Linked DNA regions of Arabidopsis thaliana. The protein of the gene in region 2 purifies or fractionates together with the protein of the main gene of each other region. This does not show direct contact. Each region holds a gene or a part of one and is shown on either strand. Other genes may lie near its edges.

Evidence for each region.
Region 1: the proteins of SNAP33 (region 2) and SAR1 purify together in Arabidopsis thaliana (affinity purification with western blotting, with the first as the bait; 2 studies listed by BioGRID). This does not show direct contact.

What each region holds. Positions count from the first base shown.
Region 1 is NC_003071.7:14,042,742-14,047,524, forward strand, and holds SAR1 (synaptobrevin-related protein 1), read right to left. Parts: upstream 2,803-4,783; 5' UTR 2,597-2,802; coding exon 2,383-2,596; intron 1,931-2,382; coding exon 1,789-1,930; intron 1,696-1,788; coding exon 1,575-1,695; intron 1,383-1,574; coding exon 1,320-1,382; intron 1,194-1,319; coding exon 1,044-1,193; 3' UTR 718-1,043; downstream 1-717. Other genes in the region: VAMP723 (vesicle-associated membrane protein 723), read right to left, coding at 1-151; RALFL18 (ralf-like 18), read right to left, coding at 3,780-4,091. UniProt on the Arabidopsis thaliana protein: Involved in the targeting and/or fusion of transport vesicles to their target membrane.
Region 2 is NC_003076.8:24,621,725-24,626,447, reverse strand, and holds SNAP33 (soluble N-ethylmaleimide-sensitive factor adaptor protein 33), read right to left. Parts: upstream 3,201-4,723; 5' UTR 2,925-3,200; exon of another isoform or gene 2,705-2,924; intron 2,501-2,704; 5' UTR 2,422-2,500; coding exon 1,942-2,421; intron 1,809-1,941; coding exon 1,715-1,808; intron 1,623-1,714; coding exon 1,492-1,622; exon of another isoform or gene 1,280-1,491; coding exon 1,082-1,279; 3' UTR 817-1,081; downstream 1-816. Other genes in the region: AT5G61220 (LYR family of Fe/S cluster biogenesis protein), read left to right, coding at 128-391; AT5G61200 (myosin heavy chain-like protein), read right to left, coding at 4,367-4,423, 4,518-4,685. UniProt on the Arabidopsis thaliana protein: t-SNARE involved in diverse vesicle trafficking and membrane fusion processes, including cell plate formation. May function in the secretory pathway.

The DNA.
Region 1 (4,783 bases), on a different chromosome or scaffold from region 2:
CGCAGTTGTAGGTAAACTTGTTGTTCGAGGAAGGAAGATTCTCAAGGTACTGAGCAGCGACAGATGTGAAATTGCCTTTGAAATCTGTGAACTCGACGAGGATTACGGTGCCGCGAGCGATGAAACTGTAGAACAACGATTGTTGCGCCATTATTTTGGTTCCTTAAAAAACGACGCGAATCTAATTCGATCTTACGGGACCGATATTAGAGATTTATATCGGCGAGCACGAAAGCTTTAGAGATCTAGAAAACTTGACGCTGAAACGCGTAGAGAATCGAAGACTAAGCCAAGTAAAACCACTGACCAAGACAACACGTTTGTCCGAACTTGCATTTGTTCTTACATGCTGCACCACAGTTTTAGTCGACAGGAAGTGGCTGATTTGCCGCAATAAGGAGATCACTTTCATTTCCTGCAAATACACATAACCGCGACATCAGCCGGAGGTGGCTCCGCAAGTCGCCTCGATTTCAGCAGTCGAAATCTTGAGCTCAGCATGGCAATCAATTCGAAGAAATTCCAAAATCTCAGAAAATCAGGCGAATGTTTCCGAAATTAGGGAAGCAGAGGAGAAAGCGTTTGAGCAAACCCTTAATGAACTAACCGGAGACTCTGGTGAATCGGTCAGACGAAACCGTGTTAATTACATATTCATCTCCATTTAATATTAACCGGCTGTGGACTATGCTTATACCTCACTGCAATCCGCAACTAGAGTCTCATCAACAGACCAAAGAAATTAGTAAATTGCCAAGAACAAGTATCGTCCAAATATTGGTTTGCAAGAATTAGTGTCAGTACCAGCAATAGCAACATTGCAGATTGTCGAACATGCATACATATATGTATAATATATATAGCCTATACAAAACAAATTTCAAGAAGTACAATCTAAGAAGAAACATATAGTATGAGAATATAGAAATCACAAAAACAAAAACAAAACAAAAAGGTAGCACAACGAACTGAATGAAGATATTCTCAGAGATCTTGGGAAGCACAGAGCGCAGTCGATAACGCCGGGAAGAAATGTTCCAGACTTATTTACCGCAGTTGAATCCCCCACAAATTGAGAGGATGATGATGAGAATCAAGGCAATGATAATTGCAAGGACAATGAGCTTTATCTTCATGTTCTGAAACCACATCTTTCTTCTCATTTGAGTTCCTTGTGTTCTAAAATCTTGCGCCTGTGATAAAGTCGAGTTCAAATTTAAAGTTAGAAACCCAAGAAACAACAATCAGTAAGAGAAAGCTGCAAACTCTTGCATGTCTCTGTGTGGGTCTATTGACTTTGAACCATTTAGAAAACAAACCTGTGAGCGAAGGTTTTCTGTTTTGTCAACCAAAAGCTCAATCTTCTCACCACGGTCAAGAACCTGCAAACGAATGCATAAACGAGTTAACAACAGAATATGTCTTCACAACCGAGAATAAAACATTCCTCTCTACAGTTTATGCTTTACGAATCATAAGATCCTGGTACTAAAGTCATACAAGCTGAACTCTGTTCGAAAAGGTTTACAACATAAAACTATATCGATAAAAAGAAAAAAGGGTCAGAATCAAACCTTCTCAATGTTTTCCATCATAACACCTTTAACTTCAGACACTTGAGCTTTAACCTTAGCAAGCTTGCTAATCTCATCAGGATGATCCATGCAATACTGCATATGCTCTTTCAGTTTCGACCTTTAGAGAAGCCAAAAAGAAGTCCATCAATAACTATGCCCATGAATCATAGACCCTTTTCAATACCAATCAAAGAGATCAAAAAACACATACCCAAATTCTTTATTCAAGCTGTTTGCTTGAGCAGTTGCAGCCTTTCCACCACCATATCTCTTGTTGAAATCCTCCTTAACTCGTTCCAAGAAAGCCATAGGAATCTGCCTCCCAGCAGAATCAACTGCAACAACACAATAGGCTGCACAAACGAAAACAAAACCGGTCCATTTTAAACTCTATATTAAGAGATAAAGCAATAGATTCATCAATATATCGCTGATAAGAAAGTTAACACTATCATAAAGAGACCATATCCGCCATCAACATCACCCAAAACCCAATTAGGTTTAGTAAAACAGAGTTACATAAAGAACACAATACACTAATGCCAAAAACTTCATGATATCGAAAGCTACACGCAAATAAGCAAAGAATCAATAGATCCAGAACAAAAATTGCAAATATTCATTGATAGATCCACCAAAAATATCACTGATTACCATAGATCTAACATCAATTAATTATCAACGCCAATACATAATTATTACTGGAAACTATACCAAACATAAGAACTCGATTCATATTTCTCAATTAGGCAAAAAATCTAATTCAAACAATGGATAAATCAAAACACAAACAAGCTACGCTTACAGATCGAGCAATATTTTGACTCACTGAATCCATTTTCGACGAGGTAATTGAACGTGTGACCATCGCAGTTGTAGGTAAACTTGTTGTTAGAAGAAGGAAGCTTCTGAAGGCACTGAGCAGCGATTGATGTGAAATTGCCTTTGAAATCTGTGAACTCAACGAGGATAACGGTACCACGAGCGACGAAACTGTAGATCAACGATTGTTGCGCCATTTTTTTTACTCAAAAACGACGCGAATCCGATTTTACGGGACCGATCTCAGAGATTTATATTGGCGAGCACGAAGGCTTTAGAGATCTAGAAGACTTGACGCTGAAACGCGTAGAGAATCGAGGACTAAAAGAGAATACGGTGAAAAAGAAAAGTGTAGGAGAAATCTTAACGTAGTTGAAGAAGAAAAATCAAACCCTTGAGTTTTAGAGGGCAAAAAAGTTATATTTCAGAAAGATTTATGCAGATTGTGCAAATTGAAACAATCTTGAACTTGAGGACCTAAAAGCAAATTCAAATAATCAACTTGTGGGGTTTTAAAAAGTTGGTGATGTTGGTGTAATGGTATTTTGTTATTTGATAGTTTCAACGTATTTTTATCAGCGAAAATGAATTTGGATAAGCTAGTTTGAACTTTGACCTTTGAATAATTGGTTCCTATATTATCTAAATCTACTATTAAAATTTAAAACTTAAAAGTCATCAAAGATTATTACATGTGGTTGGATAATAATTTTATAAATTGTCTTTTTTGGGGTATTTGTAGAAAATTTGGCATATTTGGGGTTTTGGTGTAATCTAAATTAAATGACTAAATAAGAATATTTTCAAAGTTATAGGAAAGTTCAATGGTCTAGTCACCATAATAAATGATAATCTACAATTCTACATGCATCCCATGTCCGCTCCTATTAATTCAAATCTATTTTTTTCTTGATTTAATTGTACTTAGAGGTTGCTTACTATTGTAATATATATACCTGAATTTCACGTGTACACTTCTAAAGTGTATCTTATATTTACAACAAGACTATATTTTGTATTTAAAGTTGAAATTGGTAGGTGTGAATGTGTGATAGTTTTGGAGGAATGGTTTGGAAATATATCGATCGTTTAAATAAAATAAAACAAGAATATGGTGCGAGAGAAGGGATCAATTTGTTTGAACTTGACCGCAAAAATACTTTACGATGAGATCAATTTTCACTCGTCAATCATTTGGTGAGAAAAGGATGACAATTTCTAAACGAAGTTTATTCTAACTCTCTAGGAGATAATGCCTCAAAGGCTTACAAATTGCAATAAAATATAATAATAAGAAATGTGATTGGAAATACTAATTAAAAATAAAATAAAACACACCAACGAAAGGAAGAAGAAGAAGAAGAGAGAGGTGGTTTATGTTTAATTTGTAAAGCGGTAACATCCTGTAGCGGCACTGCAACCACGTCGGTATTTGTTATCCGGTTTATCCGGTTTACCATCTGGTTTGGCTGGTAAGTTTTTCTTCAATGCTTCGTAATCTATAAATCTCTTAGCTTGAAGTATCCTATGGCTCACATCTACACCTGAACTCATCTTCATGATCTCTTCTTTTTCTCCACCGTCCATGCAATTGTCACATTTTACCGGACGAGATCCGACCACAAGCGCTGGAAGCAAAGCTGCCGAGATGATCATCACAGCGATGATCAAGAGCTTCATGTTATTCATCATCGAGACTTATCAAGAGAGTGTAAAGTTGAGAGTAGTAGTTGTTGTTTCGTTTACGTTGAAATGGTTTGTGATGAAACACTTGGTTAATCTACACTTTTATAGAGGTTAATTTTTTTTGTAGAGGTTCATCGAATATTTGACCAGATTCTTACTCGAAAAAGAAAATCAAAATTACTCCGTCAAATTCATGGAATAAGAAATGAATACGGTGCCCAAAAAAGATGAACCTACACAAATAAATGATTCAGTGGATTTGTTTTGCTCTGTATAGTGATCAAAGTCGGTCAATTCGCATAATTAATTGGTCAAAGCCTCAATAATGATTTCCATATATGATAACATTGATGGCTCGTTTTTAACACAAAACTGAGGGGATGCATTGGAACATGATTATAACGTCTTATACTGCCGTTATAACGTCTCCGGTATCAAAGACAAGATACTATAACGAAAAGAAAAAAAAATACTAGAAGGAACGTTATATAAATAGCTATGAGAAAATAAAATTATGGGGTGAGAGAGGCTCGAACTCTCGACCTCAGGATCACTCAGTAGCTATGAGACCTACGCGCTAGCCAACTGCGCCACCACCCCAACTGTTACTATTAACACTGTTTTAGTTAATGAAATTCAAGGTAAAATCATGAAACACAAACAAAAGGCAGAACCCTTGACTTTATGAACGTTTGACT
Region 2 (4,723 bases):
TTATCCCTTGATCATCTTGACTACTTCTCTTCCTTTTCGGCATTGCTAATCTCAGCTTCTTTGTGTTCTTATACTGATTGCAGTTAACCAGGCTTTGTATAATTAAGGGTTAGTTTCCAATCTTGCAATGGTGTCTAGTAGTGAAGTTCTTAGCCTATGTCGTGCCTTGCTTCGAGCGGGACGTCAATTCCCTGATTACAACATTAGGGAGTACAGTAAGCGAAGGACCTTGGATGGCTTCCGCATGAACAAGAATCTCACTGACCCATCGAAGGTGACTGAGGCTTATGCTGAAGCTAAAAAACAGCTTTTTGTTGCTGAGAGAGTGCTCAAGGTTTACTTGGCATATCCTCCCAAGACCAAGAACATCATGGAAGTCAAGCTTCAGTAGATGTATGTTTGTCATTACAATATCCTCCAAAGCTATTTGTTTTTAATGGTCATGTTGGAGCCACTTTATATTCATTGATTGTCGAGTTTGTGGCTTGAGAATATGATTCGGGAACAAGTGGTGTTTGTATGAGATTATTATTTCCTCTATTCATAGTTCTTTCCAACTATGTCAGATTGCTTTGTCTAGTTCTCATTAGTAGTCTTTGTGTTTTATGGCTTCAGACATTATACAAGTGAAGAAGAGGACATTGTGGAATATATCCCTTGGATTGTAGCTGAGGAAGACTAAAGGGAATGAAGAGTTCCTGGTTTTTTTGTTCTTTTGAATAATCTCACATGATTGTGCAGTTGTTGCATAACATATGTTCCAACTTGTCTGGAGTTTCTGTATTCTTATGTCGTATTCTAGCACTGATATTTTTAGGTTATAAATCTGAGATTAAAACTCATAATTTCATCTATTATCAGAATTTCTTGAGAAAGCTTTATGATACAGATAAAAACGATACCAAAGTTGCTTCTGTTTGATCAATAAGTTTTTTGGTTTTTTGTCACAAGATCAAATACAAACACAGATAGCAATAATGTATTTAACATGATAAGAATCTTTCCAGTTTTAAAGAACAACTTCATAGAGAATAAAACAAACGAGGAATGAGTGTAATGAACATATAAACCCTCTGTTCATCTACTTTCCAAGCAAACGGCGACCACGTTGGTTTGATTGTTGCACTCTGAAGTTGAGTTCGTCAACATCATCATGAAGATGGTCAAGTCCTTTGTTCTGCTTCTCGATTTCGCTTCCCATGTCAACAGCCATGTTCTTTAGCTCGCCGAGTATATCACTCAAGTCTGAAAGCCCATCGTCTTGCTTAGCTTTTTCCATCTGTAATAAACCAGTATTAAGTTTAGTGGCGTCCAAAACACATGTTTTTCACTCAGATATATATGCTCATCATTGATGAGTCATCAATGTCTCAAATTGTTAGCATTACAGGACCACAGATAAAGAGTTCATGCATCACTCATATCAGATGCAGGAGTATAGTAATGTTCTTATGAAAGGAAAAATTGAAGAGAGGGAAGAGAAGTCCAAACCTCCACTCTCTGATAAGCATCAGCTGATTCGGGGAGTGGTTCTCGGGTTCTTGATTGTCCTCTGGGTGCTGAGTTCAGTCCCAGTTTTTCCCTTTTCTCTAAGTGGTTAACTCTTCTCGTTGGTGAGTCATCTAAGCAAAAACACAAAATAAAGGATTCAGCAATTAGGTGAAAGTAAAATAGCTGCGAGAAGAATTGAGATATCAATGACCAAGAAGCAAACCTCTGGTTACGACGGGACCATTTATAGGACGAGTCTTCTTTGGTTTCCAAGTCTTTGAAAACATGCCTCCAAGGCTTCCAAGAAGTTTCTCACCCTGAAAACCAAAAATCCAACTAGTTTCAGCATCAAATGTCTACCGTCTTCTTATCTCACACCAACTAATGTCCTCAGAAAAAGATTGAATGTTTCCATTTTATAATCAAGAACCAGAAGGAAGAAAAACTCACACGACTGAGATCATGGTCGATTTCAACGGCTTTATGGTGCGTCCTAGTGATTTGCTCGCCCTGATCGTGTAACATGACCAAAGTTCTGGTAGCATCAGACCTTATATCTTCTGCTACCTTCAAACAACCTTGTACAGATTTCGTAGTCTCTTCAGCCTTGTACACAGCATAACCTTCAAGCTCCTGAACCGACTGGTTTTCAATACCACCAGAATCACGGAAATTGTTCTTGTACTGGTATTTGGAGTTCGAAAACAATGACTGTTTGGATGAACTACTATCTCCTTTCTGAACTCTCTCACCACCAAAAGGGTTTGTCATATCAGCCAAAGAGGGTTCAGAGGTAGTCCTCTTAGAAGGGTTAAGGGTATGTTTGTTGTCAGATTCATCATCTGAATCGAAAGGATTTGGCTTGGAAGACTTGAGGTCGACTGAGTTATGCTTGGGAAGATTTGCCGGTGATTTCCTTAAACCAAACATTGTCTCTCAGGATAATATCACAAAGCTTGTTGCTTCAAACAAAAGGAACACTTGGATTGGTTACTACTAATAAACCTTCCTGCAGAAACCAAAACAGTAATCAGGATTGATGCTTTGATTCTAACTTGTAAGCTAAGAGAAAAGTTGATCAAATCAAAGGTATAGATAAAGTAAAGCAACAAGTCAAAAACGTAGCATCGAATGATTTCACTTCTAAGAACAATTTAAACGATAACATAAGACGAGACCAAAAAGTATAAGTTTTAGTTAATCAATTTTAAACCTAATTTTGGGCATAATTGAGTATATGTAGCGGCTAAAGAACCCAAGACTATGAAAACCACACACAAAATTCGCTTAATTATTTCGATAATTCTCTCTGGAACGAAACAATCGCAGAAGAGGAACGGAACAAATCGAAAGCCCAGGATCTAGCAGACGGAAATTGAGAAGAAAGGAACTGAGAATTTTGAAGCAAAAGATAGAGAGCAGATTGTGGTTACCTGGATGAGCGAAGTGGAGTCCGTGAAGAAGAAGATGGAGAAGATGAAGATTAGGTTCTTAATGAATAGAATAGAAGAGGAAGGAGGACCAAATCAATGCGAAGAAGAAGAAGAAAGGAAGAAAGGATCAAAAAGGGAAAAGATTTAACGCGGAGACGACTCAGAACGACCCAAGAATTTGAGAGTACAACAAGGAGGTCTTTGGGTATGTGTTGACGAAAATTTATCAAGGAGATTAAAAAAAAAACAAATTGTAGAAAGGAACGTGGATCAATTAATAAATAAAACAAAATCATTTAATTCAAATCTAAAACGGTCATATATATAATTCTTTTTTTTTCTAGATCAAACTTCTAAAAAAGTAAAAAGTAACTACTTTCTAACGAAAATAGAGCAATTTAGATCTTTTTAATTGTATATAGGACGTAATTGTGGATATAATAAACGTAGTTGGATTTTTTCTTACAGAGAAAGAGTCATTTTCTTATATTTTTCTAATTTCTGCTTCTTTTTTTGTACTGATGGTTTAGTTGATAAATTGTATGAGCCCAAAAAGAATGGGTAAGTTGTCAATTTTGTCATCCAAAAAGAATGGTCTTTGTTGAATTTGTCAAAGAGAACATATTTTCGCCCAAAACCAAAAACTACTTGAAGATAGAAAATTGTTTGACAATATCTATGGATATGATCATGCCTAATTTATCTCATTAATTTTTATTTGTTACCGGTTACATTGATAACGACTACAACAAAATCTTGATGTCCTAGTAGATACGATATTTCAACATATCATTTTGGTGAAGAACAAGTTGGAATATGTTTTTGCTTAAAGTCAAGTTGGATTAGGTTAGACAACAAATCTACAAGTGTCTTGATTAACAATAAAGACAACAGGTTCTTTTCCTTGACCCATTCATTTATCCCTTTGCATCAACAACAAGGTTACTAGACTCTGCACATACATGATGATACAACAACGCTTCCAGATTTCTTTATTTTCACAAGAAAAAGAAGAACAATAAAAGAGAGAAAAACGGGCCATCAAATAAACTCAGCCTTATTGACCTAGGCTCATTACAGGCCTATCAAATAGAGTCAAATAGTAAGAATCTTCTTGGTCAACGACCACAGCTTTCAACATTCTCTAGAGACTCATGTCAATTTCTCAAGATCTCTACATGTTGCTGAAGGCGTAATTAAACACTTAGAAGCCACATGAAGAAGCAGTTTTTTTTTTTGGTAGGCACATGAAGAAGCAGTTTCACTCTTGTAAAACTCAATTTCCATATATAAACATAATCACAGGGATGAAATCTATATTCCAATTTCCAATCAAATTGGATTATGTACACTTTAAATACATAAGAATTCAAACCTTATAGCTTAAAGGCTTATTTGAGGCATTAACTGTGATTTCAAGTTTAACTCGAACCTTAGCTGGTTTATACAGCAGGAAGAGGAACTAAGCAAGTTGAGGACTTGTTCTTCTCTCTCTTGATCTTAACAAGAAAATGGATATTTGTTAGGTTCCTTCAACAATATCTGATGGCTCAAAAAAAATAAAAAAATTGGAAGATATAAAGAAGCAAGTACCTGTGCTTCTAGATTGGCTATTCTTTGTAATGATGCTTGTTCGATGCATGCACGCCGCTTGCATTCTTCCTCCAATAAACATGTCATTTCATATCTTAATTCAGCCATTTCTTGTGTTAAGTCCTCTGCTTCTTCCTTGGCCTTTAGTTTCTCTTCTTTCAACTCATCCTTAGGCATAACAAAATAATGGTTTAACTAGTTAGAAT